2 linked regions of the Oryzias latipes genome follow. The protein of the gene in region 1 binds, or shares a complex with, the protein of each later gene. Links are inferred from orthologs where the notes say so. Each region holds a gene or a part of one and is shown in the gene's direction. Other genes may lie near its edges.

Region 1 (4,600 bases):
ATGATATTAACTCACAGCAGAGCCAGTGCTCGCTTCAGGTCCAAACCTCGCTGTCCAGCTGGATCATATTCATGCTAGCATCTCCCTCGGCGACGGTGAAGAGCGCTCTGAAGTGGGTGCTGCAGGCTGCAAGAACAGAGCGGTGGGCTTTGAAGTGTCGGCTGCCCACCACTATGATGCAGTCGCACAGCTGACCGTGCAGCCGCTGATAGTTCAGCTGCTGGAATATCTGCTCAAAGTGTCCCGGGAAGTCCATGGCTCTGCTGACAAATCAGTCCAAAGGAGGAGGAGAAGGAGACAAAAGTGAGAAGGACGTGGACATCAATGATTTCACAGGGGGCTGCCCAACAGATCTACCACCTTGACTGTTTCCCAGCTCTCCCTGCTCCCTGGATCATCAGGTGTGTTTAGCCACTCAGAATGTGAAGTTACTCAGAATGTGAAGTTAAGTTAATCAACAAGACAACAAGTCTTAGAAACATTCTGGCTTTTTGGGCTGACTTCAATATGTCATTATCAGTGCAAAACACACACATTTGACTTCCTTTTGACTATTTAACATAGACATAACTAAGGAAAGAATTTGAAGGTCAGTAGATTGGGGGTTTAAATCCAAGACTACACAGTCAAAAGTGTCCTTGGGCGAAACACTTAACCTCACGTTGCCTTGGATTGTAATAAACTAGTGAGTCACTTTGGTTAAAAGCGTTTCCAAAGACTCAACATATAACACACACAAAAGAAGGAAATTTAAGTAAGCTAGCTAATTTTTTTTTCAGAATAATTGATTTAATTTTATAGAATTCTGTGGCCTAAAATAGAATTCAATATCTTACTATGCGATAACCGTGTTGTAACATTTATTACATTCAAAAACTTTGGGTAATTAGTCGTTTTAAATTCCCCAAACTTTATATTTTTTTATCGCAACTTGATGATAGAGAATTCGGTTACTGCAAAACAGACCTTAAAGAATAGCTTGCAAGTTTAAACTGGACAATCATGTGGGTTATAAACAATAAATAACATATACTAGATTTTAAAAATGTCAAATAGCACAAATTACCTTTAAGTCTTCCAAAAAGTGTGTCCCCGAAGGAAAAAAATTGAGAAAATATTCAGGGAAAAAAAGTGAAGAGGCTAGTAGTGAGTCTCGTTAGCAGCCGCGCGGCTAGCCAACTCCTTCTAGCTATATAGCAGCACCAGCGGGTGCATTAGGTCTCCCCAAAAGATCGTCTCCGCCGACACCCTTTCCCCCACAAAATGTCCCCTCAAGTGCAGCTACCTATGGCTAACCCTTCCATTGCGGTGTTCATAACATCTCCTCTAAGCCACTTCCTCGTAGTTCTCCAATACAGTCTGAACGGCGTAGTAGTTCAACTGTCGAGAAGAAGGGAGTTGCGATGGTCGTTAGCTTTAGGATGACCGATGAGCAGGATACAACTTCAGAACAATATCATAATACCGATGATCTGGTGTGTTTCCGGCGCTTACCAAGCAGCACGTTTTGCTTAATCTATACGAACATTTATTCAGACGGCTTTTTTTCCCCATCCAGACTCACAGGGTGGCGCTGCTGCACCTTGATTGAAATGACCTCGTTGAGGTAAAGCGCAGCAGTTTGAATGATTCACCACAGGGTGTCGCTGTCGTTCGTAAGTGTCTAGGATGAAAACTATTGAGCGAAATGGTTTTAAATATCTACTTTATTAAGACAGGTGTTGTGAATAATATTTACGTGTATTTAGAAAAAAAATGTTTTTAGACAGCTTTAAGAAAAGACAAAAATTCGTCATTGACCAAATTCACTGAGCGTTACGTTTTACGTAAATACAGATGAGTGAGTCCTCTCGCTCCTTTCACAGATCACAACAACAATCATGGCCGCCTCGTGCAGGATGGTGTGCTGCGAGGAGGAAAGGGAGTCTGACAAAGCGATCATAGGTAATTATTCTCATCTCAGCCTTTTTGAAACAATAATCTCTAAAGCAGGCGAGCATACAGTCAGTATTTGAGTTATCTGTGTTGCATTCAAGTGTATAAAACTATTCCATTTTTCAGGAGTAATCAGAACACGTGAAAGTTACAAGGCAATATTCTCACACATAATCAACATTAACACGCCATTCTCTGTATTTTTTGCAGTCCGATTTTCGAATGGTTTCACCAGCAATGCAGAGGAACTGGATTTTGCCACATTCAAGAACATAGAAGAAAATAATCCGAGGAAAAAGATAAGGCGGATCGTGGTGAGAAATTGCGCATGCGTGCTCGCACACACCATAGTTTGCATGGAATTGATATATTTCAAGCAATCAATATAACATCACACTGAAGAAGAAATACAAATCCACTCATATGTTTATCAAACTTAAGATGGTTTGTCATTTTTTGATTGTAAAATAAAAAATGTTATAAGAGATGCATATCCATATATTTACAACCACACACACGTACATTATACCATAATAATTAAACAAAAATGACAGATTCGCATTCATTAAATATGTAACAGTTGTCTGTTCCATTTAGGTTGCTGAATCAGACAGGTTGTCTTATGTCGGGCAGAATTTTGGAGAAGATTTAATGAAATGCAATAATCTTTGCAGGTTTGTTATCATTACATTTTATATACATTAACATTTGATATAGACCTTTCGTATCCTTATCGAATGAGTTTTGTGATGCAATTATTTTCAGATATTATGTTGGAGTTTTGAATAAAGAAACCATGCAGATGGAGATACACAGCGCTCAGCTATTCAACATGCAACCTGTCATACCAGGTAAAAGAAATGCAATCCCCAAAACAATAACAAGCGATTTTTAAAGGAGGGCAATTTAGTAATGCCAGTTAATTTCCACCAGGAGAGGCAACACATGATGCAAAGCCTCAGGACACCACTCTGTCCTACAGGGAAAAGGTATGAGAAAAACAAGCTTTCTTTTGAAACAAACAAGCACACAGTGAAGTCATGTTTTTTTTTTCTTTCTCAAGGTTGACTCCTTGATTGAGGCCTTTGGCACGAATAAACAGAAACGAGCTCTGAGCTCTCGCAGGCTCAACCAGGTGGGCAGTGATGCTCTGCATCATGCAGTGGCTGAAGCTGCCAGCACTGTGATTGATAACAAGGGTCTGGAAGGTAAGCGTGAAGCTTTCAGCCTTTTGGAGTAATCTAGACAAGAAAATATAACTCAAATTCATACTGGACTTGCCATCATTTTTTTTTTACTACATGTTTTTTTCCCCCTTTTTTTCTTGTTAGCTCTGCAACAGGAAGTAGCTGAAACAGAGTCTCAAGGAGCCCTGTCGTTACACCTACCTCCCTGCAATGCAGATGCAGACAAAAAAGAAGATGTCTACCCCTTTGAAGAGCGTATCTTTTTAACATTACCCCCCCACCCCCAATTTGAACAGATATTGGAAATTACATGCATATGTAGTTCGAGCAAAAGCAGCACTTTTCTCCATCCTTAATTTGACTTCAACAGTACTGAGTCCAGTAGAATTTGCTGCTTTGGAGCCGAACGGTCAAAAGATGACGGCACTAAGCCAAGAGGAGCTGCAGAAGTTGAAAGACCAAAGAGGGTATGGTAGCAGAGAGCATTTTTGTCTTATTAGCCTTATTTACTTATTATTGAATTGAAATATTTCTCTATTTCTTACCAAAGGAATCTGTGTGTGATGAAGCACCTGGAGAACATGCCATCCGCAAGTGAACCTAGAGAGAAAACTGCTCGCTGCGCTTTTTACCTGTCTCTCCTCATCAAACTTGCCCATCAGAAGATTGTCACTCGCAAATGTGAGCAGAATTTTGGAATCTCAGTTATTGAAGTAGTAGATTCTAAATATCGCTGATCAACACGTTAAAATGCCCTGCCCCTAAAGTTTTGTAATGTATGATGCTTTTTCTATTCCACCCGTTTTTGTTTGCAGTTTGGACTGAGGAAGGTTGTCCTCGTGTCATTCAAAGTAAAATTCTCCGAACATTTACAGTGGAGACATACAATAATGGCAGGTGTGTATGCGACAGTACCCCCTCTTTTGTTAAGGTTTAAAAAAAAAAAAAGCTGACAAATGTGTTTTGTGTTCTCCTTTTAGGGTCCAGAACATTGTGTCGACATCAATGCGGGCCAAAATAGCAGCTCACAGTCTGGCTCTGTTGCTGCATTTGGGTGACATGACTGTTAACCTCTCACTGCTTCACCGTGACCTGGAAATCAATGAGGCCAGGTACAAAAACCCCAAATTCTCTCCCTTTAAAACATCTTAGTTATTTTACCAACTGATTTTCCAACCCGAACATAAGACGACTCTCTCTGAGGCACCACCTTTCTCTCTGTGTGGGTTTCGCACATTTTATGACAACCTAGGGTCGGACTTGGCAGCATGTCCCAACATTTGCAAAGATGGATATGCATATTCTGTACATAAAATGAAAGCGCTTTGCTGTTTACCACTAGCTCCGCTGAGAAAGTGGGTGTGTCTGTAAGCCTGGGGGCGGTGCTGGCAGCACAGACTGTTCCTGGAAGGGGCTGTTCCTCACTTCTTGATGTCACTCGCTGTTTTTTTGGATTTGGAGGAGCCGGTCCTTAGAGT
Region 2 (4,446 bases), on another chromosome or scaffold:
AAATCTGTCAATAGAAACTGGTAGAATTTGTCTTGGAAAGATTTCTTAAAATAAGGCATGTTGTCCTGAATTAGTTATATTGCTTTGATAACTGGAAATATTGTGTCTTTAAAAAAGCGTGTGTTGCTTTTAAAACCCTTTCACTTCTGTAAAGTAGGTACATTGATGGGTAAACCTACAGGACATGCTACTTCTCCCCCTAAAAAATCCTACTTTAAGAGCTGTAGACTAGAATCAAACATTCTAAGATAAAGTTGTCAAGATTAAAAGAACATTATGAGTCAAAAAATAGTTTTTTTAGCGATATTACTTAAAACAAAACATTTTCTACAAAATGTTCAGGATATGTTGTCTTAAAACCAGTCATTTTACCACACGGAAAAGTTACTTGTGAAGTAGTTTTGTCTCATGTCAAGTACAAAAATATATTTTTGTACTAGTTTTTGTTTTTGCAGTGTAGATTTGCTTCTGTCTTTATGTTTCTGAAAGTACCGCATGTTTAATATAAGACAGAGTGTTCATCAGCTGCTCAAATTCACACTTTAGGTCACCCTAATGATCTTAATGTGACACTTCCACTGAGAAGAGGATCCAGAATCAATGAGAACCTTTACCAGGCTTCCATTGCATAACATTCCACAGATTACATAACAAAGGACAGAACACTATGGGAGGGCATGACCATTGGAGTCTTCCTATAGAAATAAATAACACAATATTCTCCTATATTTATACAACTGTCTTGTCATTGCCACTATTGCAGGAAGAGAAGACATCAAGATTAAGAGGGTGAAGCCCCAGAACTACAGTACAAAGTATTAGATCTGCCGAGAAGCGGCAGATCTGCAGTCTCTGCTGTCTCTGGAGTGACCAGAGACAGCAGAGGCCTTTTACTTTGAAAATGTTAAAACAGGTTAAAACAGGTCTAATCTAAAAGAAATGGTTTCATAAAACAATATATTTGAAAACAACACATCTAGAATAAAAATAAAGAGAGAAAAATGTGAATGGTTAGTATTTTGCCCAGTGCTCTCCACTCATCCCAGCTGACAGTCCTTAAATGGCCATGCAGTCCTGCACTCAGGACCACTATCCATGCAGAAAGGAAAGAGATCCATGAGCAGATTTAAAAGAACACACAATCATGCAAAATAAACAAATAGAAGTATTTTTTTATAAAGAAAAAAACACTGGTGTCTGGGCTACAGTGGTGCTAATAAAGATCTTTGGAAGCAACTTGCATGCTCGACCTCGGGAAGGGTGAAGCATGTTCATTCACTCTGTGTCTCCAAATGGCGGTGTACCTCCAGGTAATGCGCCTCCTCCCAGCACTCAGTTACCTGCCTCTAAACATCTTTCATTCTGTTTGGGAATAGTCCCACTTTGGCTTTGATGATTCCAGTCCACATTAATGAAACAAGAATGAAACATTTATTTATAAAAATAAAAAATAAAAATAAAAGACTACGTTTCTGCTCATGCTTCATATTTCATGCTGTAGTTTCACCGCCTCACCAGCAGAGGGCAACATACGCATAAATGTTAAACTTCGGTTGGTGGCAGGTCGATCCTCTTTCCGGAAACTACGACTTGTTTGTTTTCCGGTCTTCTCACGCAGCATGGAGAACCTGATCCACGCCGAACCAAAACACGTGAAAATGTCGGCTGAACCTCTTGCCGTCTCTGGCTCGATTCCGGTGGATCCAGCGTCCGCAGCTGCAGAAAAAGCTGCGGGCGGTGCTCCGTGTTTGGTCCCGTCTTACTCCGCCGCCGTGGAGCTGCTGTCAGCGCCGTACTCCTGCCTGGTGATGAACCCCCGCAGGAGGCACGTCGTCCTCCCGCCGGTCTACCTCCACAAGAAGAGAAGCGGAATCCAGGAGGAGCTGGAAGCGGAGCTCCTGAAGTTCTCCCAGAGGTACCCCGACATCCTTTAGTGGAGTCTGTGAAGATGAAGCGCGTTAAAAAAAAAGAGACTTTATCCATCCATCCAAATGAACTACAACACAATAAATATCTGTCTGTGTCCGGATCAATTTTAAGATGATTCATTAAGACGCACTCCAATGAAAATTCTTTTTCAAACATGTTCTTGTCACATTTTTCTCACGTTGGAGGACATATCTTAAGGAAAATTGGTATTAAAACGGCTTTTTTAAGTATTTTTTAATCTAATTGTTGTGAATCATCAGGAGCAGACGAAAAAACATGATGCTGAAGTTGGCTTCCGATTCGCGAGGGCACTAAAGAAACATTCAATGCATTTCTCGGGCTAAGATCACCTAAAACCGGTCCCTGTTAAAACACCGCTGGACCTGGACCCCTCAAACCTGGATTAAATTATACATTAGATAGTTAAGAATGCATTAAACGCAGGTTCTGATTTATTAAACCTTCTTCCGATTTGTAAAAATGTGAAAGAATGATTTGTATCGCATTTTACGCACAGAGTCCACCTCAGACCAGGTCCTGTTCAGAAACCGCTGTGTGAAAAGTGCAGTGGAATGTTTCTTTAGTGCTCCCGCGAATCAGAAGCTGTGAATCAGAAGCCAACTTCAGCATTGTCGAAAAAATGCTGTTGAAAAAAGCTTGTTATTTTTATTATCATTTTGGCTGAAAAGGACATTTACATTTCATGTATTCATTCCTAGAGTACCTTCCACCCCCAGCCTCGTAGACCCAAAGTGCTGTACACAGGGAAGGTAGAATACATCATATAAGTATAAAAACAGAGATTGAAACCAACATAACAAAAAGGCAGCTAGGCAGAGACAGCGGCGTGATGGTGGAGGAACAGTTTGGCTTTAAAGCTCTCCAAGAGTGTAACCTCTCTGTTAGCCGGTGGATGTTGAGTCAACGCACAATCCCTTTAGAACTTACATGTGGTTCTCACAATAGTAACACACACTGGTCAGCAGAGCACAAGAACTCGAGGGGAGAATATTTTAAAAGCAGACTAGGTAAGAAGATGCCGTACCTGCTAATGACAAAAACAAAAACAGGAATTTTCTTTTTCTTTTTAAAAAAAAAAACGATTGCATGGGCAGTCAGTTTAAGGAGACCAGGATTGGGGTAATGCGCTCAGATTTCTTTGTACCACGAATAAATCTGCCGGCTGCATTTTGAACTAGCTGCAGCCTCGCTATTGCGGGACACCGCATATAAGGAGCTGCAATAATTTAGCCTTGACTACACAGAAGATGCTACACAATTACAAAATCTAATTTGGATAAAAAAACCATAATCCTCGCCAAACGCTGCAGCTGAAAAAAGCAGGACCTGGTTACAGCCTTTATTTGGAGGTCCACTTTCAAGGTAGCATCGAGTTTCACGCCTAGGTTATAGACCACAGACTGTTGAAACGGGGCGAGCGAGAGGAGATGAAGACCGCGATCCTTTCGACCACGACGGGAAAACATAATTACTGCAGTTTTTGTTTCATTAAGCCCAAAGAAGTTAGCCGACATCCACTTGGCCGTCCAGTTGTTGCCTGAACAGTCGGGACATTTGCGCATAGCAACAAAGATTTGGCAGTCGTCTGCATAAAGATGGAAATCCACTTTATGCTTACTAACCAGCAGTAGTCACGTGAACATAGGTACCGTCTTACTCCGCCGCCGTGGAGCTGCTGTCAGCGCCAACCTCACCCTCATCCGACTTTTATGGTGCAATTGATAAATTTAAAAAAAAGTGTTTTATTTTTAAATATGATTATAAATGGGAATCCACCATTTGAACAACTTTATTAGCAGCATCCTCGTAATATTAGACCGCTGGTTGTTGAATGTTATGTATTATTATTATTGTCTGTGGGAACAACTGTCACAATAAATCCTTTTTTTTCTGTTAAATGCTGCTGTTTTTTTATTTTGAAGTCAAAGGATCGTCTTCTGTTTCCTCACTGGCTCTTCTCTGCAAAAAGAAACTTTCCAAATGTGTTTGTTTTTTGCTAACTGTGCTAGCTTCGGGGCTGCAGTTTGCGCACGCTTTAAGAAAGTATCGATGGATTTTCAACACGCAACCAAGCGACTTGAAGAATGAGTTGGATGCGGTGAAGAATCCAGTAGATTTTTAAAATAAAACTTCACCCAGAACTAAATAAAACAGAAATAATGGAGGTCCTGTTTTTTTCTCTGCGGCCCGGTACCATTTGTCCAACAAACTGGTACCGGTCTACCGCCCAGGGGTTGGGGATGCCTTTAACATACCTTAAGTTTACCTTAAAGAATCCGGTATTTAAGAGATACCTGAGAGCCCTGAATGTTGTCCAGAGAACCTGGAGAGTGCCATCCTCCAAGAGCGTTGGGCACTGGGTTAAGATGGTGGAGTATGATCCCCTCTGGGTTCTTTGGGATGGACAGTTTTAGGTACTAGGACCACACAGAACATTTTGTCTAGGTATTTACCTTCTTGTTTAGTTTATTCCAGTCAGCTGATGTTTGTTCGTCT

Evidence for each region.
Region 2: polr1e (region 1) and twistnb share a complex: the UniProt entries of both Homo sapiens proteins name them as parts of the RNA polymerase I (Pol I) complex. The link is inferred for Oryzias latipes from reciprocal best matches to the Homo sapiens genes POLR1E and POLR1F.

Annotation. Positions count from the first base shown.
Region 1 is NC_019859.2:12,630,995-12,635,594, reverse strand, and holds the start of polr1e (DNA-directed RNA polymerase I subunit RPA49), read left to right. Parts: upstream 1-1,610; 5' UTR 1,611-1,625; coding exon 1,626-1,655; intron 1,656-1,865; coding exon 1,866-1,944; intron 1,945-2,145; coding exon 2,146-2,249; intron 2,250-2,532; coding exon 2,533-2,609; intron 2,610-2,700; coding exon 2,701-2,786; intron 2,787-2,868; coding exon 2,869-2,924; intron 2,925-2,998; coding exon 2,999-3,143; intron 3,144-3,266; coding exon 3,267-3,377; intron 3,378-3,492; coding exon 3,493-3,589; intron 3,590-3,672; coding exon 3,673-3,803; intron 3,804-3,937; coding exon 3,938-4,019; intron 4,020-4,102; coding exon 4,103-4,234; intron 4,235-4,600. Other genes in the region: zinc finger and BTB domain-containing protein 5-like, read right to left, coding at 47-256. UniProt on the Homo sapiens protein: Component of RNA polymerase I (Pol I), a DNA-dependent RNA polymerase which synthesizes ribosomal RNA precursors using the four ribonucleoside triphosphates as substrates.
Region 2 is NC_019869.2:9,793,505-9,797,950, forward strand, and holds the start of twistnb (DNA-directed RNA polymerase I subunit RPA43), read left to right. Parts: upstream 1-1,578; 5' UTR 1,579-1,619; coding exon 1,620-1,915; intron 1,916-4,446. UniProt on the Homo sapiens protein: Component of RNA polymerase I (Pol I), a DNA-dependent RNA polymerase which synthesizes ribosomal RNA precursors using the four ribonucleoside triphosphates as substrates.